Linked DNA regions of Notamacropus eugenii. The protein of the gene in region 1 purifies or fractionates together with the protein of each later gene. This does not show direct contact. Links are inferred from orthologs where the notes say so. Each region holds a gene or a part of one and is shown on either strand. Other genes may lie near its edges.

Region 1 (9,847 bases):
ACCAGTATCAAACATTATTGCAAGTCTTATGCATGACAACTAAAAGTAGAGACCTAAAGGGAAAAAATGGATTTTCCACAAGCATTGCATGAATACCTGAAATAAATAAGGCAGAAGATGGGGGAAAAAAAAGAAATAGCTCTTTCAGAAAAAGTTGGAAGGAAAATAAGTAGCTCAAGAGAAAGAATGGTTAATCCACCCAAGAAATGAATTTTCTGAAAACAAGAGTAGACCAAATAGAGATCAATGACTACATAAGATAACAGGAAATACTAGTCTAAAAAATAAAAAGATTGAAAAAAAAGAAAATGTAAAATATCTGATACAAAGAAATAGCTGACCTGGGAAGCTGATCAAGGAGAGATGAATTAAAAATCTTTGGACTTCCTGAAAAACATGATTTAAAAAAGGCCTGGGCATTATATTCCAAGAAATCATGAATGCAGATAGCCCATATCTACTAGAAACAGAGAATAAAGTAAAAATAGAATCACCTACGTACATTATTTTTGATTCTTTATCTCTTATCATTTCTTCTGATTTTTCTTTAGAATTTCTCATTGATTATGTTGCAGCGTGCTCACATTTTCCATTTATCTCTTCATTGTCCATTGTGTGATGTTCGTCTTTAGTTCTTCGGAGTCAGTGCTGATCCATGTCTAACTGACCTATGGCAACACCAGTAAAGTGTTAGGATTGAAAAGATGGATCTTTAATCTCATGAGAATCTTGGAGTTAATAAAAGTGCTTTGCAATTTCCCCAAAGCAACTCCAGTTAAATTCCGATTCTCAAAGAACTTACATCCTATGAATGAACGAATGAATAAAGCATTTATTAAGCCCTTAACAATGTGCAAAGCTTGGTGGTAAATATTGGGTGTACAAATAGAAAAGTGAGATAGACCCTGCTCTCAAGAAGCTCAGATTCTAATAAAGGAAATAACACATGAAAGGTTTTAGGTGCAAGTCAGTTGGAAAGATCCCATAGTCCTTATGATATAGCAGTGAAGAGTGATGTTAATTTCTCTTCTTTAATGTTATTTCCATTGATAAAATGATACCAGTTTCTGGTGTTGAATGTTTGGATAGCACCAAGGACACAAGGCAAAAACTTGCTTTTCTAGGTTTTTCAAGTAGTTCTAACTGTGACACTGTAGGAACAGTTGCCAGACTATATCTCTATATACACATTCCAGTATATATGCAATAAATATTTGCAGAAAAAAATAAACACAAGGTAGTAAAGGAGGGAAGGTACTATCACTTGAGGAGGGAAGGAGACCAGAAAATGCTTTGTGTAGAAGGTAATACTTCAAAGAAGTGAGGGCTTCTATGATGTAGAAATGGGGAAGTTCATTCTCCGCATGGGAAGAGCAGTGTAAAGGGGAGAATGACAGGTGTTGTGCAGTGTGAGAAACAGAAAGGGCTTGTGTGGTTGAACTGGAGAGTGCAGGAAGTAGACTAACAGAGGGTAAAACACTAAGTGGGGTCGAGTTGTGAAAGGTTTTAAAAAGAAAAACAGAAGAGTTTATATTTTATCCTAGATACAACTGGAGTTTAAGTAGGAAAGTGGCATCAGTTCTGAAATTGAGGAAAATAACTTTTTAAAAATAAATCCAAGTTATAGTTTTATTCAAGACTACACAAAGATTTTTATATACTTCAGCGATTTTGGCACTGTTGCTGTCAAACATCAGGCTAAAGAAACCCATAAAAGGTTAATATGGTAAAACAATGTAAGTAGGAAAACAACAAACATCCAGATGTTTGAGACTCATGCTTGTGGCTGCTGCTTTGGAATATGTAACTTTGTGCTTACCAGCTAATACTGTAGAAGTCTTCTGTTCATTAACTCCCATATAATTCTCATAAATGTACAGAGTTTTTAACATATTAAAAAAAGAAAATTTGTCCCCTTGAAACCTAAACCAAGACAAAAGTTCAAATTTACTATTGTGTTATCAGTATTAGGCAATTTTCACTGATCAGGACCATTAGTGGAAAACAGTGACTATGGGAAGATCTCTTTAGCAGATATGTAGAGAGTAGATTGAAATGGAGAGTAAGGAAATCAATCAGGAATTCATTGTAACAACCTAGAGATGATGAGATCTCAGCCAAGCTGGTGGCTGTATGAATAAGAAGACCTGAGCTCAAGTCCAGTCTTTGAACTTTCTATTGTGACCATGGCTGAGCCTCAGTTTTGTTATCTGTATAATTCAGATAATAGCGCCTGTAGTATCCACCTAACAAGGTTGTTGTGGGACTTGAATGAGATTAAGGTATTTAAAGTACTTTATAAACCTCGAAGCACTATATAAACATTATTGATTATTATTTTTATCCTCTTTTTCTCACCAGTAGACTTTAAACTTTTGGGACCACATCAATTTTTCGTCTTTGTATCTCCAGCATTTCACAGAATAGGCACTTCATAAATAGTAGTTGAATTAGATTTGTTCTTTTTCTTTTAATGATACGGGGAAAATTGGTGAACTCACTCCTTGCCTTGCCTTACCTTGCCTTGCCTTGCCCTGCCCTGCCCTGCCCTGCCTTGCCCTGCCCTGCCCTGCCTTGCCTTGCCTTTCTTTTCCTTCTTACCTTCCTCCCTTCTTTCCTGCCTTCCACATTTATATTGGTTTTACAGGGTTCAGAGCGCTGTTTTAAGCAACGGGGGAGATATAAAAGCAAGTGATACAGTTCCTGCCCTCGTGGAACTTATAGATACTTAACTATTAATATGAGACATCATTGTAATCCCTGTCCCAAAGCCTACAAGTATGAGACTTTCTCCTTACTGGTAGAGAATGCCCTTTCCATGTGAGGGATGAAGCAGAGCTGGTGAGAGTTGGAGAGTTCCAGCCTTCATTATTCTTCTAACCTCTTCAAGCTTCTAATGGTTTAGGCCATTTCTGGCTTCTAGCACCTATAAGGAAGATGGAAAAGGCCAACCCCACTTAGATTGTTGAAGGAAAAGAGTCTGGGAATAAATGAGAGAAGCAGACAGGCTCCATCATGTCTATATCCTCAGGTCACTACACTAGAGACTATGAGCAGTTTCCCCTTGGGTGAGGTCTAGGACACTCTTTTGGTTGAGCTGAGTTAACTTGCTCCCACTGGGAGAGTTCTTTTACTCTGTATTGTCTGGTAAATACTCTCTTTTGTATACTTTCTTTGATTTCTGTTTTGCTACTGATTTGGATAAATGGATTTTCTTTGACAGTTGCTCATTGTGAAGCTGGAATTAGGTAGGAAAGAGACCAAGCCTTGGCTGAAGAGCTTGGGGTCTCCCTTCCCCCAATAATGAGATACAGCGATCAACATTAGATCAAACTGGATTATATTCTGTAAACTAACAATAGTTAAGGGAATGATACCTCCTCTCTCTGAGGAAAGTCAAGTGGCCTCTGACCTAAACTCCCTGTTTCCCCTCCTGGCAGGAATTAGTCTCCTGTGAAGAAGGGTGGGGAAGAGAAGAGGTTAGAGATGTCTGTTCTGCCTCCTTTTAAGCCACATAAGGACAGCCCTCACTACATGTAGACCTATGTGACACGTGGGATCTTGCTACATGTGGGTTTTCTATATTATCTTTTGAAATGCATTAGGGAATTGAAAAACAGTGTTATGTGAAGTTTGGGGGCAGAGGGGAAGGTCACTGCTATCAGGATGTATAAAGGAAGGCTTCCTGGAGGCGGCGGCTTTTGAATTGTGCTTTTAAGATTAAGTTTGAAATTCACCAAACAAAGAAGAGAAAAGAAAATTTTCCAGAAGTAGGGAATAATTGGATCAAAAGCTTGGAGATAAGAGAATACAGTCCACATTAATGGGATAGAGGGTTCAGTGTAGATGCAAGGTACAATGCACAGAAAAGAATGAAAACCATGACTGACACCTGGGTATGCAGGGTGGTGCCAGGCTGTGGTGGGCCTTGAATGCTAGCTAGGAGTTGGAGCTTTATTCTGTGGGCAAGAGAGAGCTACTGAAAACTTTTAAGCAGAAGAATGATCTGACTAGATTGATGTGTGAGTCATAAAAATTTCTTTTCAGTGCCCAAGCTCTCTGTTTTGTAGTTCTCTCCTTTATTCCATTGGCATTCTCTTTCTCCTTGGATACCCAGAATTTTTTTCTCTTTCCCTAGACTTGTTTGAAAGACATTCACAATATCTGTTTCTCTTAGGGAAACAGATGTTACATTTATTTAACAAGTGGGCCCCTGAAGTCTCAAGGAACTCTGACTCTGGGGCCCCTTGTGACTTTTCCTGTTTTGAGTAATCAGTTATATGAATCATGGCTCAAAGTCTCTATTTAGTACAAGAGATACCAGTCTAATATTAAAAGCAGTTAATTAAGACATGAAAGCCATGAAAATTTTAAGAGGAAATCAAACTGTAGAATCATTCTCTAATGCCCATCTTTTTGTGAATATAATACCATCATCTTTAGAGGTGGTTGAAGGTGAGAAGGAATCTCTTGGGGAATTTATGAAGTGTGGGGTGGTAGTTGGGAAACTCCCCCTCATTGTTTGGGCAAGTGGAGTGAGGAAGTTGTCAATCAATCTTTGTTGAAGGTTTTCAGTGACCAGCCGTGCTACCCCTTTGGAGTCTGTTGAAGCTCAGTACACATAAGGATTCTGATAGGATTCCTAGGTTTGGGGTCACCATGACAGTACAGTCCTATGTCTTCCCCTCTCTGTATCCCTACTCTGATTCCAGCCCCCAGGTTGCCTCTTTGTTTCCACTCTTGGTAGCTCAGGATTTCTCTTTCCATGCTTACTTCTCAATTTTGCCTGTATCTTTACCAAGTTAATCTCCCCTTCTTTTTATTTTTTTTTAAAGTTCCTTGCCTGTTCTTTCATCCAGGTTCCAGACCCAACAGGAGTTTCCCTCTCTTCTCATCGTGGAACACTGTTCTAGAGTGTTTCCCTTAAAGGTATCTAATCCTTATCCATATTGACTGAATTAATGAAAAAGCATTTTAAAATAACTAAATTTTAAACATCATTTTAACAAAATTGAGTTCCAAATTCTCATTTCTTCCATTCCTCCCCCACCCAGGAGAAGGCAACGTGACACTCATTATACATATGAAGTCACGCCAAGCATATTTTCATATTAGCCATGTTGTTAAAAAAAAAAAGGGAGGAAAAATAAAGTGGAAAAAAGTATGCTTCAGTCTGCACTCAGATGTCATCAGTTCTCTGTCTGGAGGTGGAGAGCATTTGCAAAAGCATTTATTAAGTTCTGACCAAGTGCCAAGCACTGTGAGACAGTCCTCCCTTTTAAGAAGCTCACCTTCTAATATTTGGGGGGTGAAAGACTCTTATAAGATTTGGGAGGATTCAGCTGCATGGAAGACAGAAAGTGATGAAAGTCTTAAGAACTTAGGATAGTGGATAGGATACTGATCGTGGCGTCCAGGAAACCTGGATTCAAATATTGGTTCAGTAATAAAATGTTATTAATGTTTTAATAATATTTTAAAAATATTAAAATATCAATATTATGGGGAGGATGAGGAGAGGGAGTCACTAGCAGCTGGAAGAACGAGGAAAGATTTCAAGTAGAAGGCAGCCTTTGAGCTGAGCCTTGAAGGAAGGTGGGGAGTCCTTGGGACACAGGTGAGGAGAGAATGACTTCCAGGTGGAAGGGGGAGCCTGGGCAAAAGCACGGAGAGGGGAAATGGCAATTCCTAACTGGGGAATCGCGTGGCCTCCTATTACTCTGTACAGAGCTTGTTTTTACTTCTCCGAGTACACGTTGTATCCTCCTAGAGAGCAGGAACTGTTTTAATCTGCTAAAAGATCAAAGGGTTGGATGAGAGGGAGTCTCACCTCACTTGCAGATTTCAATGTAAAACCCCACGACTGCAGGCAGATGGAAACTGACGCTGCAGCGCCCTGGAGGCTGCAGCCCCGCCTCCCCGCCAGCAGGGGGAGACATAGCGGGGTCTGGCTCTGCCGAGACGCGGCCCGGCTCGGGCCTGCCTGAAGCTCGAACGTTAAGTAAGCCTCCGTCTGATTGGGTCTCTGCGCTTCGGGCGACCCTCCAACCACCGGTGGGCTTACGTCACGGCGTCCCAGGGTGCAGCCCGCGGAAATTTGAAATGGCTGAAGGGTGGATGACGGCTGAGGGCTTCGGCGCTGCGGAGCCGAGCCCGGAGCCCAGCTTTCCCGGGGTGCCCGCGGACGTGAAGCACGGTACGCATGCCCCTCGTCCCCGGGGCGGCCGCAGTGAACCCGGCGGGGGCCGCGGCTGTCGTCCGCCCCTGGCGCGTCCTGGCTCCGGGGAGGCCCGGCGGGAGGGAGCCTGGCGGCGTCGGGGCAGGGAGGGCCCAGCCCAGGCCACTAGCGCGTGGGTAATTCGCTCCTGTCTGTGTGACTTCGGTGCGCTCACTTGACCTCTCTGGGCCCGGCCTGTAACGGATGGGGATGGACCGGGTGCCTGCGGCTGACCTCCTGCAGGGAGGGCCCGGCCTGGAGAGAGCGACCAGGGAGGCCTATTGTGAGAAAGAAGCCTGGGGCCGGGGCAGGGGCAGCGTCCGGGGCCGGGGCCGGGGCAGCGGCCGGGGCCGGGGCCGGGGCAGCGGCAGCGGCCGCCCCCGCCCCGCTAGTCTCAAGTGTCAGCTTTTGGGGAAGGGTAGAAGTAGGGCCCGATTTAGGCTTGATGTTAGGGAAAGTTATGTCGGAACGACAGGTGGCGAGTCCCCTTTGGTCGTGTGTCGGGGACGCTGTAGAGCTGGTTAGTGCTCAGGGGACCGACAGACTGGACGATCCGAGTTCCTTCCGGACCCTGTGAAGTGCTCGGGCCGGTGCAGCCCGAGAGGAGGGCAGAGCTTGGGCCGTACGTCTGCCGTTCGGTGACCTGCAGCAGAAGTGTCGTGCCTTAGTGCAGGTGCAAGCTTAGCGAGTGACGGATACGGCTCCTCCTAGCCAATGCTCGAAGATGTCAGACTGGTAGGAGGCTTGCATTCTGGCTTTGACCACCCATAGCTGATGGCCGATAAGAACAGCCAGCATTTTCGTGATGCTTCAAGGCTTGCAAAGCTCTTTTCAAAAACTGCCTTATTTTCTCCTCATGGCCAACCTAGGAGGGAGGTTGCTAATAAACCTTAAACCACTTAAGGCTCTAAGTTCAGGCAGATATCACCTGTGAGCACTGACCGGTCCCACCACTCTAGTTTCCTAAGTCATGAAGCGGGGAGGAGTTTGATTCTGGTTCATGAATCCTTGAAATACAAAATATAAAATTATTATACTGTAATTATGTGTTATACTGTAATATGTAATGTAACGTAGGGTGATCTAGGTTAAGGTCTAGGACCTAGTTTCATGAGAGAACAGTAGACTTGCATTTAGAAGATTCAGTTTAGAGGCTTGCCTCTGACTTTGGACAAACCTCCTTCTTTGGGCATCATTTTCTTCACCTGTCTTGTAAACAGACTGGATTCAGACCTTTCCAGCTCTAATCTGGAACCTGGCTTGAATTGTTGATCACAGGCAAGTCACTTAGGAGTTTGAGAGTAGATTTTTTTTTCCTACTCATTTTACCTCTTGTCTTTTCCTTTGCTCTTACAGTATCTTACCCTGTAAGATATGTATCTCTGAATACATTGTATCCCCTCCAATGTAGAAAATAAGTTCCTTGAGGGTGGGGTTGTATTCTTTCTGTATTGGTATTGTGTCTCCTACTTCAGTACTACACCCCTACTAGTCATTAATAAATGTTTTTTAAGTTGAATTAAATATCAGCTTCCTTCTTTGTAAACTGGAAAAATAAAATACATTTTCTACAGGAAGCCTTCCCCACCCCCACTTAATTCCAGTGCCTTCCTTCTTGTTAATTATTTCCTGTTTATCCTGATTATAACTTGCTCTGTATATATTGATTTGAATGTTGTCTCCCCCAATAGATTGTAAGCTATTTAAAGGCCTCTTTTTGTATCCTAAGCATTTATCATAGTGGCTGGCACATAGTAGGTGCTCAGTAAATAAATATTGATTGATTGTGGCGAGAACAGCCCTTTTAAGCTTTGAAGGTCCATATAAATCTGAGTTATTACCTTGCACACAGAGTTTTTATGAAGAAAGTACTTTGTAAAATGTAAAGGACTACACAAGCGAGTTATTGGTATTTTCATCACTGTAGGGTTTCTCTAGTTTCAACCCAGTCAGTATTTTCATTTCTGAAATGTAGGTCACCATTTCCCTTTATGCCTCCATTGTTATCCTGTGGGGCTAAGGGCAGGCCACCAGGGCAGTCCTAAGACTTGGAGTAGAAAGATCCTAGGGAAGCAGGAGCAATGAGAGGTAAGAGAAGTGAGTGCTACCAATGTTTAGTACATATGATATTAGCTAGCTCTGAAACAGTGATGCTACAACTGTCAATCTTAAATCCATCTGTCCATTGCTATCATAAACACTGATGACGATCAGTTCTTTTCATTCATGTCTGACGCTTTCCGTTTGGGATTTTGACAAAGATGCTGTAGTGGTTTGCCATTTCCTTCTCCAGTTCATTTTACAGACGAGGAAACTGAGGTGAAGAGGGTTAAGTGACTTTTCTAAGGTCATACTTGTAAGTGTCTGAGGTCAGAGCAGAACTCAGGAAGATGAGTCTTCCTGACTCCAGGCTCTTTCCACTGTGCTACCGAGCTGCCCCTATACATTGGCCTATGTTACTAATTGGATCTTGTTATAACACGATTTGTTATTGTATAGAATACTGTTTGGGAGAGAGGTAAAATTGGAAAGTGAGCATGGAAAGATAAATCCTGCATTGCTACTCAACTCATTAAGAGTAGAAACAGAGGTAAACTACAGAAATTACTACAGATAGTAAATGTTTGACATAATTATGGTTAATCATATTCTTATCATTGAGGACTAGCTTGTAGAGGATTTTTTGGACAGTTCTTTTTTGAAGTGCTAAGGTCTCCAGTGAGGAGAAGTCCCACAGCCTACATAAGATGAAAGTAAACCTTTCTCTATTAAAGGTTGTTTTGTCACTGTATATTGAATAAGCACTATGAACTTGAAGTTGTATTAAAAAAAGAGTCCCAGTTCTCTAACAGTGCCAGTCTTTAGAGAAGAAGAGTCATAAATCACCCTTTTCCCTATTCCCCAGCAAATTTATAGTATTGTTATGAGGGAAATACCATATGACTATAAAATGTTGAGTAAATGAAAAGTACTAAATCATGGTAAAGAATTAGAGGTGTATTTTTTGGAGGAAGGCCAGGAAAGCATCCTTTGATGTGAAAATCTAAACTTGCAAAAAACTCTTAGGATTTTAAAGTAGAACTTTTAATTTGATATATTTCCAGGCTTGCTTGGATAAACTGTAGTCCCATCTGACAAGGGGAGAGGTAAATAAACTGTGATATCTCAGTGCTCATTTGTGTTTCTCTGTTGTTCTAGTGAGTAAGTGCTTTAATTTTTGTATAATTGAAAAACATTGGAAGTGTTTAGGAAGTTGAATGTTCTTCTTTTTATTCCTTTAGACTTATTGCAAGATGAAGATACATTCAGTGATTATGGCAGTCATGATAAGCCAGGGACCATTTTGCAAAGGTTTGTGCCAGAAGGGAATGTACCTTTTCCAGACATTTTCCAAACAAATCAGCTTTTGTTCTATGAGCGATTCAGAGCCTATCAAGATTATATTCTAGGTAAGTATTCACTTTGCATGTAAAATGGGCTTTCTTGCTTCTTATATTTTCAGTGTCTTTGCCATTTGGTGGGAATATGGCATCTTTTTACTGCACTGCTATACCCTAGAATCTGCTGTTGGAATTACTGTGTAAATAGAGTTCCTGTTTCTGAGATAGGGAATGAAATCTTTCCCTGCCA
Region 2 (9,964 bases), on another chromosome or scaffold:
AAGGTACTCTCTCCTCACTACTCTATTTCTAAACAGGCCTCCTGCTGACTTCTCCTCTTCTAATCAGAATCACACAATCAGATTAGAAGTGAGAGGGAATCTTAGATAAATCATCTAGGTGGTGCAGTAGACACCCAAAGTCTTGATATCAAATCCGACCTCAGACACTATGCTGTGTGATCCTAGATAAATCGTTTAACCTTCCTAAGCCTCAGTTACCTCGTGTGTAAAAATGGGGGTACTAATGGCACTTACCTCACAGGGTTGTGAGGATCAAATGAAATAATGTAACATGCATTGCAAACCTTAAAATATCATATAAATGCTAGTTCTTAAATCAGTGGAACCACAAGTTTTCTAGGTTCAAGACAGTAGAGATTTTTGATTCTTCCGAGTCTTGTAGATTTTTTTCAAATGTCTTTCATTATCTGTCTACTTCTGCTATGTAGCCCAAACCATCCCACCTACAGTCTCTGCCTCGTCTAGTCCATCCTGTACATGTATCAATTAATTTTCCTAAAATATCAGCCATTTGGTTTGGTATTGTTATTTAACTTTTCTCATTATTGTTACTTAACATTTCTCTTAGGGAGATCTTACCTCCCTATATCTGTAGCTTCTTTATATCTTTAGCTCATAAGCTTCATGTTATCTTCCAAAGCAGACACACAAAAATATTTGTTTGCATGTTACTACTGCCAACAGTTTCTAATTTGGCAGTATATTACTTATTGGTATGTACAAATGTATTAGTGGTAAATGTTGCATCCTTACAAACATTACTTACATTTTAAACAGTGACTCTTAGTCCTGCTTTGCCTTTGAAGATGAATCAAGTTACCAAAAGGGGTATCACAAAATGCTCAAAAATTTCTAAATAAAATTTTAACTCACTTAAAAAAAATACTACATACTAATTAAAATGACCAAGCCTGGCCCTGGAGAAGAATTGAGAAAAATGTACCTCCATCATTTCTTTACATAGTTGGTTGATGTTGGTTGGTTTTTATTGAACTACTCCCTACACATTTTCCAAAATCTGTGTTAAAATGGATAGCTTGTTGGGGTAAGGTAATGAGGTATGAATATATGCACAAATGAAGGGGATGTAAAAACAAAATATTAACATTTTATTAATGGTTTTTGTTTTAATATCACTCTCATTTCTGGATATACCCTATCCCCAACTCAGTGAGCCACCCCTTGTCAACAAGAAAAAACTGTTAAGCTAAACCATCTTATAAATCCATTTCTGCCATAAAATGAAACCATTTACACCCAGTCCCACAACTTTCTAAGTAAAAGGAAGCTTCTTCTCAAGGCTAAGACCGGTTATGACAATTACAGTGTTGGGCTTCCTTTGGATGTACCTTTTGTCTATATTATTGTAGTTATCATGTAATATTCTGCTTACTTCATTCTATTCCAATATATACAAGTTGTTTGATTCCCACAAAGTATTTTTAGAAAGGGAGAAGGAAGACGACATCAAAAGCAGAAGTGTTTTACAGACAAGCATTCTAAGACACTACCCCAAAACTACATTATGCTAGAAGAAAGGAACAGATATTCACATCTGACCTGGCAAGGCTCTCAGACAAGCTGGCAAAGATAAGACTTAAGTCTGAGAGGAGAGGCAGCAGTAAATTCAGCTCTTCCTCTCACAAAGCTTTAAAGTAATCCCTAAACTATACTACCAAATAATATTCTCTGTTCTTTATTTGTTGAGAAACTATCACCTCTAAAATTAAGATTCTACAGAAGTAACTCAGGAATTATTTTTGGATTATTTCTGCATCAGCATTAACCCTGATATTAAAGCCAAATTCTAACTCAGTAAAACTCAAATTTATCTACCTCCTTTGGTATCAGTTGAAATGGTCTTAATTCTTCTGTTGGTTATTATTTTTACCCCAGTCAATAGTACTTCATTGCTCAGCCATCCCCTCCCTCCCCCAACATACACAATATTATTTCCAAGATGTTTATGTGAAAGGAAACAAAAACAAAATCACATTATAGTGCAATATTGTATGGCTGTGAAACAAGCCATCCCTTTCACTACAGAGGTGGCTGCTTTTCAGGATAGATGAAATAATACCTTTGTGTAGTTAGAAAATCAGTTTGTGAAGCACTTCCCACAAAACTGTGCTAGAGAACCTCAGCTCTTATTGACGGGAAGCCCTCCCGGTGCACAAGTCACTATTTCACAGATTCCCAATCTGTGAGTGTCCCTAAGGGAGCAATTTAGCATGGAGAGGCAAGAGTATCAGCTTGATGTGATTGCTTCGAGGCCCCAATTTAATTTCAATCATCCAGCCAAGAGACAGACACCCTCCTTCAGAATAACAGACTATTATAGATCTAACTGCAGGGCATGCTAGATAAGGTTTCTATCCTCCACCTTCTCAATCCCTAACCTCCTCCAGCCCCAACATTATTAACAGACTCATAAATCAGTTTTTTCTTTCAAAAATATGCATAATGTGTCACATTACTAGATGTGCCAATGTATGGGTTGCTTGTTTGGTTGGTGGGGGAGGGATAATTTATAAATGAAAATACTTGTCACAAAAAGAAATAAGAAAAATCCCCCAAAAAATTTCTAAAAATCACCGACAGAACTCCTGTGTTGCCAAGTAGATTCCTAAGCGCACCATCTCTAGCCAGAAAAATAACTTCACTACAAAAGTACTGCTCTTGCAAAACTTTCTGCGCCAAAGCATTTGAAAATATAATTTCTCCCCGCAAAATTTACACTCCTTACTTCAACCTACCGTAACTAGTCCCCCCAAATATATACCGATGCTCTCAGCCGTATAGATATGCGAGGAAAATTACTTCCTTTTATTAAGGGGTCAAGTGAAAAAAAAAAATGAATTACCTTCGTTTAGAAAAACTTACTGGCCTTCTACATGCAAAGCTCCTCCTATTCTCCTATTCCTTAATGTTTCAAGTCTCACTCCCTCCGTAAACCTTTCCTGACCAGAAAAGTGGACAAAGATCCTTCTTCTAAGCTCCCTCCAGTATAGATTGTCCTATATTATTTATCTTCTTATGCTCTCTTTCCCAAAAAATCTTGGTGACATCCTGGATCACAGAGGAAATAAACAAATGGCACCGTCAGGATTTGAGCTTGGGTCCTCTGGATCAAATCCAACTTTCTTTCTTCAGAACTAAGCTATTAGTTGGGAAATCAGTTACTAGATCCTAAGCATTCTCCAAATACCCTTCCAGGAATTCAGTTCAAAGAGAAAAACGTCCTAACACAATCTTACAGGATACAGTCATCATCGAACCCACCCTACAAAAAAATAATTCCCCACAGGAATGCTGGGGCTAGAAGTCTACTGCGCCTACTGTGCGCCTAATTCCCGGGGTAACAGATGAGGTAACATTGTTACAGCGTTTAGCAAACCTCAGAGTGCTACTATGCCCACCACTACTTCAGACATTCAGACACTATCAAGTGTAAGAATGTAGCAAAGGCACAGCAGAAGGAACCTTGGCCTTGGGAGCCGAAAGCCTGGTCTAAGTCCCAGCCGTGACCCTCCTAGGGCTGTGCATCCCCTTCACATAAGCCCTTGAACCCCTCAGAGGCTCAGTGCCTCCCATCTGCGAAATGGGGCCAAGACTACTAGACGACAGGACTAAGCCGGCCCGCGGCGCGCAGCAGCCCCTGGCCCACCCTGCCTCCCGCATGCGCATTCACCTCCTAGAGCTGGGCAGCGAGCCGGAGGCATGAGCAAGGGATGCATGGCCAGGGAGCGAGGGCACCACGGTTTCTGACGACTCTGGTGTACCCCAGCCTCTCTAGAACGCACCCCTTATTCCTTACCTCCCCCGTGGTCCGCCCCATCCCCCTCCTCCCTTACCCGACCTCGTGACCTCCGCCCCCGCTCCTCAGGCCAGGATCACCCGGAAGGCTATCAGCCCCCTCGGACAGCAGCCTCCGTTCCGCCCCCCAATCTCCCCACAACCACCGTAGCGCCGGAGGCTGGAACCCTAAAAGCCACCACCTCTTATCACAAAGCCCACGCGGAGCGGCCCTTTCAGCCAACCCCGAAACTTGCCTGGACGAAGACGGCCAGGTGGTCCGCGGGACCCCGAGTCCGAGCTTTTCTCCCCAACGGCACCTCACCCAACGACAGCCCGACGCCGCGATACCCGCTCTGATTTGAAATCCTCCAACGACCAATCAGAGGGCAGTATGTTCCTCCCCCAACCTACCAATTAGGGCGCATGTACGTATGCACGCACGCCTCGTAGAGCCTGCGCACTATCCTCCGACGAAGCCAGTCAGGCAGCCATTTTGGCTCCGGTCTTTCCTAATAAAGCCGTCAAGGGTGCCATGTTGATTGAGGGCAAGGGCTACTGAACTTCGACCTCAGGTTTTGATAGGACCCTAGATTTCGAGTTGGAAGGGGCTTTCTCAGAGCATCGTCTTACAGATCAGGAAACGTAGGCCCAGAGTGATTAAATGATTTACTCAGGATCACCCAGCTACTCCCTACAGTGGGATTCGAACCTAGGTTAAGCTGCTCCATCTGTAAAAATGGAGAAAATACTGGCATGGTCCAAATGGCTTTCATTCACAAATAGCACCCCTGAATGTTTCCTCTGCCGAGCACCAACCTGAGGGATACTTTTTTTTTTTTGCCTAGATTTCAACGCCTCAGCGTGGCCTTCAGCACCACCAGATCACCTTTGCCCACCCTCCCCAGATATTCCAGGGGCTTTTTCCCCCAAGACTGTCAATACCCATCTCCCAGAGGACTTTGGCCACCACTTCTGCCTTCGTCCCTGTCTTCCCTTTCTTGCCAAGCAAACCCTCTCTCTTTGCATTCCCTTATTCTCCAGCAGACTGTCCCTCATCATCCTCACTCTAACTTATCTTCCACCTCTTCTGTCTACTGGCTGCTTCCCTATTGCCTACAAGCATGCCTATGTCTTCCCATGCTCAAAGACCATTCCATCCCTGCTGCCCTACATCTTCTGTGGCTAAACTTCTTGAGAAGGCACAATCTGGCTTCTCATTCCTCTGAAACTGTGCTCTCCAAAGTTACCTTACTGTTGAGTAGGTTTTTTTTTTCAGTCCAGACAAACTTTTCATGACCACATTTGATGTTTTCTTGGTTTGCCACTTCCTTCTCCAGTTCGTTTGACAAAAGAGGAAACTGAGGCAAACAGTTAAGCGACTTGCCCAAGGGCATATAGCTAGTAAGTGTCGCAAGCTGAATTTGAAGTGAGGTCTTGGCTGACTCCAAGCCTGGAGCTCTATCCACTGCACCACTTAGCTGCCCCCTCTAAAATTACTAATAATCTCTTAAATGCAGCTTCTAATGACCTTTCATCAATCCTCATTCTTGATGACCTCTTTGCAGCCTTCAACACAATTGATGACCCTCTTCTTGATAATTCTGTTGTCCCTAGGTTTTTGAGACATACCTCTCTCCTGGTTCTCCTCCTGTCTAAACACTTCTCAGTCTCCTGTGCTAGATCTTCATCCAGGTCACTTCCACTAATCATGGGTGTCCCATAGGGTTCTGTCCTGGGACCTCTCTTCTTCTCCATCTATACTATTTCACTAAGTGACCTCATCATCTCCCATGGTTTAAATTATCATCTCTTTTCAGATAATTCTGAAATCTCTTTACCTAATCTTAACCTTTTTCCTGAGCTCCAGTTTCATATCACCATCTACTTATTGGAGATCTCAAACTGATTTATCCCATAGATATCTTAACCTCATTAAGACCAAGACTGAACTTGTTATCTTTTTCCCCAAAGCCCTCCCTACTTTCTAATTTCCCTATTAGTATAAAGAGTATCATTAAACTTTAAGCCATCCAGGTTTCCAATATAGGTGTTATCTTTAGCTCCTCTCTTTCTCATTCCTTATTTCCAATCTATTACAAAAGTCTGTTGATTTCATCTTTATAACATCTCTCATAATTTAAATTCTCTGACACTGGCACCACCTGGCTGCCAGCCCTTATCACCTCACTCTTGGACTATTGCAATTGCCTGCTGGTTGGTCTCCCTGACACGTCTCTTTCCAATCCAATCCATCTGCCACTCAGCTAACGAAGTGATCTTCCTAAGGTGCAGTACTGGCCATGCCATACTCCTACAGTGGCTCCTGATCATCTCCAGGATCAAATATAAAATTGTCTGTTTGCTGTTCAAAGCCCTTCATAAACTACCACCCCCCCCCACTTTTCTAGCCTTCCTATATTTTACCTTCCTTCCCTTCTCTATCATTCCCACCCACCCACTCTGTAATCCACTGACACTGTCTTCCTTGATATTCCTCACTTAAGATACTTCATCTCCCAACTCAAGGCATTTTCACTAGCTGTTGACCTCCTTACTCACCTCCACCTCCTAGCTTCCTAAAAGTCTCAGCTATCTACAGGAAGCCTTTCCTGATCTCCCTTAATTCTAGTGCCTGCCTTCAACATCCTGTATATAACTTGTCTGAACAATGTTATTTGCACCTTATCTGAGCTCCTTAAGAAGAGGGACAGTCCTTTGCCTTTCTTTGGATCCCAAGAGTTTAGCACAGTGCCTAGCCCGGGGGTGGAGAACCTGCATCCTGGAGGTCACATGTAGGTCTTTGGGTGCAGCCTTTTGACTGAGTCCAAGTTTTACAGAACAAATCTTTTTATTAAGGGGATTTGTTTTGTAAAGTTTGGATTCAGTCAAAAGACCACACTTGAGAACCTAGAGCGCCACATATGGCTCCCCACCCCTGGCCCAACTTGAAAAAGACATAGCAGGTATGTTCATCATCCTCATGAATGGCACAAAGCTGTGAGAAATAGCTGAGAAGATGGATGACAGGAACAAGATTCAAGAATTAACAGACCAGAAGTCTGGGACTAAAACTAACAAAATGAGACTCAAAAAAAATTAAAAATCCTGCTCTAGTTTCAAAGAATCAACAGGGCACATTAAAAAAGAGAAAGAGAAGAGTTTTAGTTGACTACAAACTCAGTATGGGTCAAAATTATGATACTGTTGCTAAAAAAATCCCTTATATAATCTAATCTTATATTAAAAGAAGCATGGTATCCACAGCAAGGAATATAGTAGTGCCCCCTGTACACTGCCCTGCTCAGACTTTGGGGAGATAATTTACCTCTCTGGGACAGTATTCTTATACAGAAAATAAGAAAGGGGCAGTCAGGTGATCAGGAAGACCTGAGTTCAAATCTAGCCTCATACACTTTTACTAACTGTGTAACCTTGAGCAAGTCACTTAGACCAATTTGCTTCAGTTTCTTCATCTGTAAAAAGAACTGGAGAAGGAAATGGCCAACACTCCAGTATCTTTGCCCAGAAAACCCTAAATGGGGTACAAAGAGTCAGACGTAACTGAAATGACTGAATAACTATAACAAAAATAAGGAAATTCAATGAAAGGTTTCAGCCCTAAGTTGACTCCTAGTTCTAACATTCTATGGTTTAATGATTGTCTAGTGCAAAATTCACTCCTGTTCATAGTTATTCAGTCACCATTCCAGACCAACATCTGGAGAGTCTTATCCCAGGATTCTAGGGGTCTTCTGACCTAGGGACTACCCAGTCTAATTGAGGAGATAAAGCAAGTACCAACGTTGACAATGAAATATAAGAAGCAAAAATCAGAAACACAATTTCTAAATGCACAGAAGTAAAGGAGGAAAGGGTTAGGAAGAAAGAAGTAGAGGGGAATGGAAGTTACTGTAATAAAAAATTAATGGAATAACCAGGAACCCCCTAATAATGGGTTTCCTGGAATGGGTGAGTCTTGGGGAAAATGTTGGGTGCTGGTAAAAGATAATTTGATGAAGAGTAGTAGAGTGTCAGTGAATAAGCGACAAAGTGGGAGAATAATGACCTGTATGAATGGGTAGAGCTTAGAAATGGCAATTTGATAATAAAGCCAACGAGAAATCCTGCACCTTACTCCCCCCCCAAAAAAACCCAACAATACTTCTTTCTGAACAAATTATGGAAAGAGGAAAGGAAGATTTTTCAATAAGCTTAACTATTGCATGGACATATCTAAGGTCACCTTTATCCCGGGCAAGTCCCATTTAACTTTCTGTATCAACCATTCAGCTTTCGAAGGAAAGAAAGAGTAAAGACAAGGGTGGGAGGTTTCTGACATCTTTTGCTCCAAACCTCCAGATTGATGGGATGGGATCCAGAGGTACAAACCTCCCAATATTTCCAGGAGGAGCTTGGCAGGATGAGGGAAGAAAACCTTGGACGCTGGCCTCTCTCCCATTATTGTAGTCCTTATTTGTCGGGCTTGTGCCCCCACCCCTCTCCTCCCCCTCTCCCAGGCTCAGAGCTTCTGCCAGGAAACTGCTAATGGGATTTATGCTAATGGGGCTGATGCAGGTGATTGCCTGAGTGTGTCAGTGGCTCCGGCTCTGCCTGACTGCTCCCTGGGCCTCCTAGACCTTTCGTCCACTGGGCTTTCCTGGTTGCCAGCCACCTCAGACTTCACCTTGTGACATGAAGTGACAAATTTGATCTGCCTCTTTCTTGGAGGAAAGGATACCAGTTAGCACCCAGGGACTTCCTGACACGGATAGGGGTCAAAATCCCATTTCTTCCGTGGTCTCACCTGCTCTTCCTCTGTCTCCCATTTTCTTTTTTGCTTACTGACTTTTGCTGTTCTTTGCCTTTCTCTGCTTTGTTGCTGTTTTTCTGGCTTCTTACTGTCTTTCTCCCTCCTTCCCTCATTTCACAGTATTATGGCATCATAAATTTAGAGTTGGATGGGACTTTATTAACCATCAAATCTAACCCTTGCATTTTACAGATAAGTAACAGGCTCAATGCCCAGGATCACACAACTAGTGTCTGAGGCAGAATTTGAATCCATTGTTTCCTGTCTTCAAGTGTAATGCTCTCTTCTCCATAGCATTCACTATTCAACCTCTGACACCAGTTCTTCCTGAGGTCTTAGTCTCCCTCTCACGGCACAGACTCTCTGTGAATATCCTAGAAATACCTTCAGCGGGGGAGCCAAACTAATAGAGTATAAGTTTGTATTTCATTTGTATAGGACATGGCACAGTAGGCACTAGTAGGCACATCCAGCAAATGTTTGTTGATTGAGTGTTCAGAAGAAATTCCTTTAAAGCTACCCTTGAGATTCATCTTAGTCAAATAAGTCCTGAATAAAAAGGTTATACTGTACGCATGATGACCCATACAATGTGATTTGCCACCATACTGCACAAGACTAGGGATTCTGGAGCCTCCCTCTTTTTTCACCCCATTCTCTCCCATGGGCCATAATGGAAAAAGCACCAGTTTTGGCATCAGGGGACCTGGGTTTACATCCCAGCTCTTCTATTTACCACCTGTATGAACTGCCCGAGTCATAGTATCCTCATCTGTAAAATGAGGGGTTTGAAAGGCATTATCTCACCCAGCTCTAAATCCCATGATTCTGTGAACTTTCTCTCTCTTTAAGCCCTTGAAGATCCAGTAAGACCGAGAGTGAAACAACATTTTTGGCAGAGCTTTCATCCCCACCCCAGTTTGCAAAGTAAGCTGGAAATGAATCTTATTTCACCAAAGGATTGTAGGAGGAACGTAAAACACAGAAGAGGGTGTTAACCCGAGTTGCGTAGAGTATAATATTTCAGCTTTGTTGTCTCCTTTTCAAATAATAGAATTTTAAAGCTAGAAAAAAATCTTTTTAGAAATGACCTGGTCCAATACTTTCATTGTACAATTGAGGAAACTGAGGCCCAGGAAAGGTAAGTAACCTGCTCAAGCTTGTACAGGTAGTAATCCCTGGCAGAGTCAGTGCTAGAGCAGTACCATCACCATCAAAAAACAAACATGAATTGAATGCCTACTTTGATTATGGCAGAGTGTGTAAGAGACAAAGAAGTATAAAATATGGTCATGGTCCCTGTCCTAAAGGAACTTACAGTTCCAGTTGGGAGAG
Region 3 (10,888 bases), about 330 Mb from region 1:
CTCTACCACAACGCCCTGCCCCATCCTCTCTCCTCTCTCCTTTCCCATCCCCCTCTCTCTATGGAGAGAGGTAGAGGGGATACAGATATAATAAGCAGTATCATATAAAATGATATGCAGTTATGTCTTAGTACCATTAGAAAGCTGAAGGAATGGCAAGCAGTTTACTGATACACCCAATAGGAGTATATCTTGTTATCCTCAATTTTCCTAACATTGCAATTAAGGTAGATTATGTTTGGAAGAAGTCATTTATGTTCAGATCATACTGATCACTTTTAATCAGTACCTGAGAAAAGGCTGTAACTCCTTAAGTAGCTATGCAATGTCTCTTTTCTGAATAAATGAACTGATGCTTACTGATAACAATATAATGATAATTTGGAGAACCTTAAATGACTGTGGCTATAAAATTGATATGAATAACGTTTGGTCTACTGATTAGACCACAAACATGAACTAGTTGAATGTTGGTTTCTTGCCAGAGATCCATTATGGATGAAAAGATAAGGTCAACTGAGCCCCCTTTCTAAATAAGAGATGTTTTTCAAATTGTGCTCCCTGTATAGATTTCTTGTTTCTAAAAACATGTAAAATAAAATTTATTTATTATAACAATTCATTTTCCCCATGATTTTGGTCATTTTTTTTTATCACTTCATAAATACACATTTATTTAAGAAGGTTGATGACAGATAGTTCACTCATGTTGGTTAAGAGGGTTTTCCTTTTAGAAATACAGTATCAGAGGTTTTCCTAGATAGAAAAAACATGTCAATACAGCCTTACTCTGTCAGTCTGAGGTGAATTTGGATAAGCTTTATTTAGCTACTTAATTTGTCTATTAGCTCAATTTAGGCACACGTGCCACTGTTGCAGTCTGAAATGGCCATCCATCTTCTATATATCAAACATATTTTCCCTTTGTGTAAACCTTGTTTAGACATATCTACTCCATTAAGACTCTAATGTTCACTTCAGATCAAATAATGGTCAGGAAGTACAAGAAATGACTGTAATTCTTTCAACCTCAAATGGCATAAGAGGTCAGCTAGAAGCCCAAGGGCAATAGGTAAGACAGGCCACCAGCTAAGTCAGCATCTGCTAGTGCCACTAGAGATGGACCTGGGACAGTGTTTCCCAGGAATGCTGTCTAGAGGCAGTATGAGCAGAATCTCCCCCTGTAAAGCCTCAGGGTGGTCAGAAAAGCCTCAGGATAGGAAGCTGGGAACCAGAAGGCATCACTACAACAGAGACCAGAACACCCCAGGCCCAGGGGGCTCAGAGGCTTCTAACACTCTGTTCTGAGATGCTACAGAAGGTCCTGAAAATCCAACGCTCAGAACCTTAAAGATCAGGAGTTCTTAACCTTAGAAGTGGTTACCAGTAGAATGCAGATGACCGAGGATAAGCCCAAAACCATTGCACACAAAAGCACATTAGAGACTGTCACTGTCCTAATTCAAGAGCTAAAGCTGGAGAAATAAGTAAATCAAAGAAAGGAGAAATCAATATCAAAAATTATTGTAAATCTAGAGATTCCCCCAAATGAAAAAACATGTAACTATAACAGCTGCAAGCAGAGGCACCAAGGAAAAGAAATGGATTTTGAAGGAAAACATAAAAAGTGAAATAAAATCTCTCCTGCAGGAAAGAATTGAAAAGGTATTAAATAACTTAGACGAGAATGTGGTAAACTTTATCTAAGAAATAGAAACTAGAATAAACCAAAAAAACCCCAAAAAACAAAAAACCAGTGACTCCATGAGATGGCAAAAATTATTATAACCAAATCAAAAAGGTAAAATACAAGATATTTGTTAATAAAAGCCTACTGACCTGGAAAATAGATCCAGGGGAGATAATTTATTTTTCTTTTTTAAAAAATTTAATTTTAGTTTTCAACATTCACTTTTAATAAGATTTTGAGTTCAATTTTTTCTCCCTCCCCTCCCCTCTCTGCTCCCCAAGATGGCATATAATCTAATATAGGCTAGAAGTGTACAATCATATTAAACATATTTCCACATTAGTCATGTTGTAAGGAAGAATCAGAACCAAAGGGAAAAACCACAAGAAAGAAAAAAACAAAAAAAGAGAGAGAATAGTATGCTTCATTCAGACTCTATAGTTCTTTCTCTGGATGAAGGGGAGGTAATTTTAAAATTACTGGATTTAATGAAAACCACAGTTTTTTTATAAAAGCTTATACACTATAATTTATTATTTTTTAAGTAAAGAGACTTAATTTTTTTTAGTTCTGAATTCTCTCCCTCCTTTTTCCCCCTCCCTCACCCAATGAGAAAGCATGAAAAACAAAACTTATTACAAATATACGTAGTCATGCATGACAAAACTGCATATTAGCCATGCCCTCTTCCCCTCTAAAAAAGCAAGAAAAAAATGCACTCTGAGTCCATCAGCGCTCTCTCTGCAGGTGAATAGCATGCGTCCTTTGGAATTGTGGTAGGTCACTGTGGTGCTCACGTCGTTGTTCTCCTGGCATTGCTTACTTCATTTTGCAGCAGTTCATAAAGGTTTTAAAATCATTTCTTTCATCCTGTCTTACAGCACAATAGTATTTGTCACATTCGTATACCATAACTTGTTTAGCCATGCCCAATGGGGATCCCTTAAGTTTCTTTGCTACCTTAAGATTCTTTGCTACCACTAAAAATTTATTTTTGTACATATGGATCTTTTTCCTCTTTCTTTGCTCTTTTTGGTGGATAGCCTGGAAGAGAAGTGAGGCTGGTGAGCTGCACAGCCCTCCCTCACTCAAAACAAAGTCAAGTGCTAGTCATGTCATCATTCCTCTGAGGGTATGGTCCTCTTCGGCATTGAAGGACGAACACAATCCTGTGAGTAGATGCAGCTGGCTGAATAGGGACCCAGCTAGCTGGGTAACTCAGCTTCCCTTCCCATCTTTTCCGTTTCCAAAACCTTAAATCTACTACACTCTGAAGCTAGGATGACAATGAGCCCCTGCCCAAGGGCTCTTCTGGACCCTCCTTAGCTTTAGAGTGATTACCAATAGTAATTGTTGCTGTTTCCCACCCACCCTGATGTCTTTGTTTTTCTTGACCTTATTAAAGGGGCCATGACCTGGCTACTTCTTAAACAGGACTATTCAATGAATGGGCGTTACCTCACCCTAAGTGAGTGCCTGCAAAGACCTTGGCCTAAAGGGCCCAAGGTCACCTAGTGCATCCTTGGTCATCTCCAGTCATCCTGAGAAATATCTGGTCACTGGATCCAGATGGCTCTGGAGGATAAGTGGCTGGTGACCTTGCACAGCCCTCCCTCACTCAAAACAAAGTCAAGTACAACTCATGTCATCATTTCTCTGATGGCATGGTTTTCTTCAGCAATGAAGGACAAATACAACACAAGGTGAATAGCCTTAATAGTTGTACCTTTGCTGGGGCAAAGGATATGCAGTTCAATAGCCTTTTAGGCACAATTCCCAATTGCTGTCCAGAATGGTTAGACTGATTTACAATTCTACCAATTGCATTAGTATACTTGTTTTTCCCTTATGTTATTTTCTTTTTTGTCATCTTAGCCAATATGATGCATATGAGATGGTACCTCAGAGTTGTCTTAATCTGCATATCTCTATTGGTGATTTACAGCATTGTTTCATATGGCAATTGATGGCTTTGGTTTCTTCCTTTGAAAACTGCCTATTCATATCTGTTGATCATTTATCAGTTGGGGAATGGTTCCTATTATTGCACATTTGCCTCAGTTCCCTATACATTTTAGAAATGAGATCTTTGTCAGAAAAACTTATGGCAAATAATTTCTCCAGTTTCTTGTTCTTCTTACAATTTTAGCTGCACTGGTTTTGTTTGGGCAAAATCTTTTAAATTTTAGATAATCAAAATTATTCATTTTACCTCCTGAAAACCCTTGTATTCCTTCCCTTATCCATAGATGTGACAGGAAAGTTTCCCTCTGATACACTAATTTTTTTATGCTAGCACTTTTTATTTCTAAATCATGAGCTCATCTTTGAGCTTATGATGGTATATGGTATGAGATGTTAGTCTATGCTAGTTTCTGCTAGATTTCTTTCCTGTTCTCCCAGCAGTTTTTGTCAAATAGAGCTCTTGTTCCCTGTAACTGGGATCTCTGGGTTTATCAAACACAATGTTACTGTGTTCATTTTCTTTTGTATATTAGATACCTAATCTGTTTCACCGATCAATCTATTTCTTATTGAGTACCCAACTTTTCTGACAATTACAGCTTTGCAATACAGTTGACATCTGGTACTCTTAGTCCCCCTTCCTTACCTTTTTTTTTCATGGATTCCCTTGATATTCTTAACCTTTTATTCCTTCATATGAATTTTGTTATTTTTTTCTAGTTCTATAAAGTAATTCTTTGATTATTATGGAATTGAATAAGTAATATTGCCATTTTTATTATATTGGCTCAGTCTATTCAATTAATTTTTCTCTGATCTGTCTTTGTCGGAAAAGAGTTTCAAAACTGTGTTCATATAGTTCCTATGTATGTTTTGGCAGGTAGACTCCCAAATATTATAGTGTCTGTTGTTATTTTAATAAAATTTCTCTATCTCTTCCTGCAGGATTTTGTTGGTAATACACAGAAATGCTGACGATTTGTGTGGTTTTATTTTGTATCCTGAAACTTTGCTGAAATTGTTCATTGTTTTGACTACTTTTTAAGGTGACTCCAGGTTTCTCTAGGTAAACCATCATATTATGTACAAAAAATGACAGTTTTGTTTCCTCATTGCCTATGCTTATTTCTTCAATTCTGGACATTATACTTTAAAGAATTATAAATGAAAATTGCCCAGATCTGTTACAACTAGGGGACATAATAAAGACAGAACCTACTAATCATCTTCTGAAAGAAACCCCAAAAGTGAAAGTCTCAGGAATGTCACAGTCAAAATCCAAAAGCTCCCAGATCAAAGAAAAAAAATATGAACTACAGTCAGGATCACATAAGACCTGGTAGCTTTTACTACAAATAGGAGGGATCTTGGAATACAATGTTCCAAAAGGCAAATAATCTGGGTTTACAACCAAGAATAAATTACTTGGTAAATCTGAGTATAATCCTACAAAGAAAAAAAAAGTGAACCTGCAATGGAACAGAAGACTTTCAAGTATTTCTGATTAAAAAGATCAGAGTAAGCAGATTAATAACTTTGAAATATTAACAGTCTAGAGAAACCTGGAAATGTAAGTTTATTTGAAAGGAATTGAACAATGTTATTAACATGGAAAGACAAAACGAGTGTCCCTTTATAACCTTAATCTTTTTAAAGAGTGTGAGGGAGTAAAACGGTGATGAATATGGGTAGGGGGTAGGGCATAACATGGATTTGCTCTGAGGGTTGGAAGGAAAGAAAGAGTAAAAGCAGAATATTACTAATGTGAAAAGGAGGAAGAAGGGCATGAAACCACTATCATAACTGGGGAATAAGAAAAGAGCAACATTGTAACAACAGAGTAACAACATTGTAAAGAAAAGCACCGTTGAAAGACTTAAGCCTGATCAAAGCCAAGATCAACCACATCTCCAAAGGGTCTATGAAGAAACTTTGTTTTCCACTTCAGGACAGGGGTGATGAACCAGCACAAGGGTGGCAAAAAGAGACATAGAATTTTGCTGGCGTACCGAGTTAATTGATTTTGCTTGGTTATGTTGATTGTTGCAAAGGTTTCTTCACCACCTTGCTGAAGACTCCTCCCTCTACACCTCTATTATCGTAATAGCCGGCGGGTGGGCTCTCCCCACTCCAGTTCATCCTCCCTTCTACGGTCAGAGGGATTTTCTTAAAACGCAAGTCTGACCGTGTCACCTCCAGATCACTTCGAAGACAAATACATAAAATCGCCCGGCATCTGGAGCTCTTCATAATATGCTCCCCCCCAGTCTCTCTCTTTCTTTCTCAATAACGAATAACCTGACGCTACCAGGCTGCTTTCCTGGTCTCCAGAAACTCATCATCCTGAAATCCTCTGAGAGACGCAGACAGACAGACAGAATTACCTGCAGCCCTCTCGAGGCTCTGGCTGCCCCCAGGCCTATCACGCTCACGTCCCAGCCTCCCCAAGGCCCCGCTTCTGCTTGTCCTGTCTCTACCACGTCTGTCTACAGCGGATGGCACGCTGCCCACCGGCAGCCTGGGAGCTCCTGGCTTTCGCTTTCCCTGGCACTCGGGAATCGTCCAGCGCTGGACACTGGCTCGGAGGGAGGATGGCGGAGGGGACGGACACGTGAGGGGAGATGAGGAAGGCCGCAGCGTAGCCTCACACCGCTCAGTACGTAGGCAGACAAGACCCGCCACCCAGGGCGTTTGGGATTGCGGGGCGCGAGTACCAGAAGTCGGGTCACTGTTTTCCTTCCGGAAGGGAAGTTTGCCCCTCAGCTGTTGGTTTCCTTGGAAACGAGTCCCACTTCCGTCCTCGAGGGGGGACGCTTCCCGCCCGAAGCCACACTCTTTGCCCCGCCCCGGAGCACGTGGGGGGCGCCGTGGACGCTGATTGGTCCGTTTGAAATGCGCCGGGGGCGCGCGCCCGCCCGGTCCGGTTTGCCTCGCTGGGCGAGGGTGAAGAGAGCGACCGTTCGGCTTGTGCGTCAGGGAGCTCTCGGGGACCCGAGCGCGGCGACAGAGACCCCCCAGCCTTCCCGCCAGCTGGCCCCGAGCTCTCTCCGCCGCCTGCCGCCGATAGAGCGCCCGCTGCGGCCATGAAGCCAGCGTGAGTGTCCGCGTCGGGATAGCGCGACTTGGCCGCTGGGCTGGGGGAGGGGAGGGGAGGGGGCTCCCGGGGGCAGGGGTCGGGCCCCGGGGCGAGACCCCCCTCTTTTCGCCCCGGAACGGCGATCCCCGCGAGTGCCATCGCCCGGGCTCCCGCCGGGAGCACAGCCTGGGGAAGGGAAGGCGAAGCCTTGGGGTGCGTGGGGCAGCCCCCCTCCTTCCTCGGGGCTAGGAATGGGATGCGTCCCTCCTCCGCTCCCTTGTCTCCAGACCTGACCTGGCGTCCTCCTGGACTCCGAAGGCCTTCCCCATGCTTGCCCCGCCCCTTCCCACTGTCCCCAAACTTTCTTCAGGCAAACTTAGCAGAGGAGGTAACGGAGGCCGGCTGCCCTGCCCCCCTCCCCTCTCCCGGTCCGGTTCCGCGCCCTTGTGAGAAGGGGAGGCCAGGCCACCCATTTTTATTCATATCTTTTGTTTTTACTTCACCTTGGATTTCTTAAGTGAAGTCATCCCTGTGAGTCATCTGCCCCTCTTTTAAAAAGGGGGAGAGGGAAGCAGCAGTAAAACCACCCATACATTAACTTTTTCTGATAAGACTTAGTGCTGTGGGAAACTGCTACGATTTGGGGGACACCGTGTTATTTCACACTGGTAGTTCCCGTCTATCACTCCTTTACCCCCTTACCCTCTCCCTCCCTCAACCCCCTCCTGCCCCTGGCAAAGAGACTTCAGCCTTTTTTTTTTTTTTTTTTAAATTTAGAGGTCCTTGGAGGGAGGGTATTGTATGTAGGTCTTTTTTGTTCTGGTCTTAAAAAGGATAACCCTGGTATTGCTTAGAGATGTAGACTGGTGCAATGAAGGAAGAACTGGACCTGTATTTTAAGACCTGTCTCTGCCAGATACTGTATGACCTTGGACAAGACAGAGCCTCTGTACACCTTAGGTTTCACCATCTGTAAAAGGGTAACAGCTACCACTCCTGCTTCACAGTGTTGGCTCTGAGAAAAGCCTTTAAAATGCTAAATATGGGCTATTATTGAGTACTGTTAGATGATGTACTGTCATTTAATTGTCTGGGAATCAGAGTAGTAGAGAAGCTCATTTGTAGGGTGATTATTATCATTCTTTAACTGGAGCAACTCTGTAAACTCTTTACTAAGGGGTAAAAGGTTTGTGATCTGCATCTGTAGAATTAGCTCCCACACCATTAAAATCACAGATTCTTGAAGATAGAAACGTCAAGTCCTACCTCTGACACTGAATGAGCTGTGTGACCATATTATTTAAGGGGAGGAAATGTGACAGGTACTGTGTTAAACACTTTGCAAATATTATTTGCAATATATTTCAAATATTATCTCTGTATCTCTGTATAGAAATGCAGCTCTATGTGTAACTCTCTATAACTAATTATAATTTATATATGAGCTGCTCATGAAGGAGAGTGGCCACTTTCCTAATTAGTAGATTGCTATTGATGAACTCACAGTTCTAGACCAAGAGATAGAAACTATAGACGTAGTGAAATGCATTGAAAATACATGGAAGTAAAAAAGAAAACCTGTTAACAAGTAAGAAATTTATGGTTTAGGGCATAGGTATCTGAATAGGAAGCATAACTTTTTGTAGGAAGGAAATAATGGTGTTTGGTCTGAGCATTCATTCACCCATTAATCTCCCTCTATTTTACCTATTGCCATCAGACTTCTTCCTACCACTTTACTGAAACTGCACACCATTGTCCAATTATTTGCAAAATTCAGTGTTTTTAAAAGTCATTCTTCCTTACTGACCTCTCTGCAGCTTTTGATTGTTGACCAGATGCTTCTATTGGTAACTTTCTTGTTGGTTTCTCATATCCATCCTTGACTCTTTGCTTTGGAAATTCTTAAGTGTCTGTCCTTGGCTCCTTTCAATCAAAAAGAATTCATTAAGAACCTACTATTCCCATACATTGGAGATACTGGTACAAAGAATGAAACAATTCTTACTCACAGGGTACTTATAGTCTCAAAGTGAAACAAGTATATATAGAATCAAGATGGAGAATATATACAAATTGGTTAAATATAAGGTTAAATATATAAATTATATAAATATAATGAGATTAAGAAAGGAGGGAGATTCTGTGAGGCAGAGATGACTGAGGATACTCCATAAGTGAGGGATAGAATACAAAGGACAAAGATAGAATAGGAATTGTCATTTGAGGAACAGAGAGAAGGCTTGCTTAGTTGTGTCCTGGAGTTCAGGAGAGGAAGTAAAGTCCACTGAGACTGGAAAGATGAATTGGGATCAGGTTTCTACTAGGGGCTTTAAAGTTTATGAGTGCTCCTAAAAGAAATTGATTTGTGCTTGTCCTTCATGCTCAAAGAGGACTAAAATGACGTTACCATGTCTGGGTCAGGGTGCAGTATGTCTGACAGTGGCTGATCAGACCAGTAGGAGCTCAGAAGCTCTACCACAGTCAGGCACAAATAGTCCACATGAACATTGCACATCTCATGTTCCTTTTGAGCTGCTGTAATTTTGCTGTGCTTTATGAGCACAGCATCTTCTTGGGTGTGAGCGTGCCATGCTTGACAATCCTGTACAGTGTCTCCCATGTCTCATAATAGATTCCTTTGTTCTTCAGAGAGACCTTGAGAGTACCTTGTATCTTTTCTTCTGACCTCTGTGTGAGGATTTGCCTTGTGTAAGTTCTCCAAAAAATAGTCTTTTAGGCAAACTTAAATTTTTGAACAGTGTGACCAGCCCATTGGAGTTGCATTCTGTGCAATAGAGTTTGAATGCTTGGCAATTCAGCTTGAGAAAGAACCTCAGTGTCCCATACCTTATTTTGCCAGAGTGGTCTTCAGAATCTTCCTAAGACAGTTCAGATTCAGTTTTCTTGAAGAAATTGGGAGCCCCTGGAGTTGGAATAAGAAAGTTATAATTTTGTCAGCAGTTTACAGGGTAGATTGGAATGGGAAGAGATTTAAGGCAGGAAAACCAAGTGATGTAGGCAAGAGATGATAAGAGCCTGAACTAAGTTTGGAGCTTTGTGAGTAGACAGAAGTGGTCAGATTCCAAGACTCAAGGAGGCAGGAATTGCTAAATTGGGTAACTGTTGAATATGTGGGGGGAAGGAAAGTAAGGAATTGAGAATAGTGCCGTCTACCTTGTTTCCCATATATAGAATCTTGTTTTTTACTTTTCTCACTTTTTACTTCTAATCCACTATTAAATCACGTTAGTTCTGCCTCTTTGACATCTCTCATGTCTTTATTCCTTTTGCCCCGACTCTTATCCTACTGCCCTGGCAGCTACATGATGCAGTGAGTAGCATGTAGGGGCTAGATTCAGGGAGACTCATCTTCCTGAATTCACATCTGGTCTCATACACTTACTAGCCATGTAACCTTGGACAAGTCACTTAACCCTGTTTGTCTCAGTTTCCTCATCTATAAAATGAGCTGGAGAAGGGAATGGCAAAGCACTCCAGTATCTTTGCCAAAAAAAAAAAAACCCATATGAGGTCATGAAGAGTCAGACACACAACTGAAAAATAACTGAACAACAAAATCCTACGACTCACCTAGACTATTGCAGTGGTCTTCTTAAAAGTCTTTCTGCCTGCACTTTCCTTCCTCCAACCCAATCATAGCCAAGAATAACTTTTCCAATAACTTTTTACTTGTTCCTTATTGCTTAGTAAACAAAGATGTTTTCTTTGCTTGGCATTCAAGGGCTGCCACAGTCCAGTGCCACCTTACTTTTTTAGCGTTGTCCCATATTGCTTCTTTCTGTGTGCTCAGTTCCCTCTTTCCTGGGTACCCACCTACATTCTCCTGCTGTGTTCATTCTATTCCCTACTCTAGGAATGACCTACCCCCTCCTTACCTGTGGATTTCTTCCCATCTTTTAAAAAACCAACTCTGATGTCACTTCCTCCATGAACATCTTTGAGAACTGCTCTTCCCTTCTGCTTTAATAACATTATTTCCTTTGGAAATACTTTGTTTCATAAGTCTCATGTACTTAGTTGTAACATTCTATATGATAATTTTGTTTTGATATTTTATCTCTACTAGACTATATGCTTCATGAGGGACAGAGACTTTGTTTTGTATGAACTTTGTATTTTGGTGATAAGCACAG

Evidence for each region.
Region 2: the proteins of SHCBP1 (region 1) and RACGAP1 purify together in Homo sapiens (affinity purification with mass spectrometry; 8 studies listed by BioGRID and IntAct, counting the BioPlex papers as one, with this or other methods). This does not show direct contact. The link is inferred for Notamacropus eugenii from reciprocal best matches to the Homo sapiens genes SHCBP1 and RACGAP1.
Region 3: the proteins of SHCBP1 (region 1) and KIF23 purify together in Homo sapiens (affinity purification with western blotting; 9 studies listed by BioGRID and IntAct, with this or other methods). This does not show direct contact. The link is inferred for Notamacropus eugenii from reciprocal best matches to the Homo sapiens genes SHCBP1 and KIF23.

The regions. Positions count from the first base shown.
Region 1 is NC_092872.1:461,189,843-461,199,689, reverse strand, and holds the start of SHCBP1 (SHC SH2 domain-binding protein 1), read left to right. Parts: upstream 1-5,981; 5' UTR 5,982-6,102; coding exon 6,103-6,196; intron 6,197-9,498; coding exon 9,499-9,666; intron 9,667-9,847. UniProt on the Homo sapiens protein: May play a role in signaling pathways governing cellular proliferation, cell growth and differentiation. May be a component of a novel signaling pathway downstream of Shc. Acts as a positive regulator of FGF signaling in neural progenitor cells.
Region 2 is NC_092874.1:222,130,276-222,140,239, forward strand, and holds the start of RACGAP1 (rac GTPase-activating protein 1), read right to left. Parts: upstream 4,241-9,964; 5' UTR 4,074-4,240; intron 3,791-4,073; exon of another isoform or gene 3,713-3,790; intron 1-3,712.
Region 3 is NC_092872.1:132,838,411-132,849,298, forward strand, and holds the start of KIF23 (kinesin-like protein KIF23), read left to right. Parts: upstream 1-6,624; 5' UTR 6,625-6,738; coding exon 6,739-6,749; exon of another isoform or gene 6,750-6,750; intron 6,751-10,888.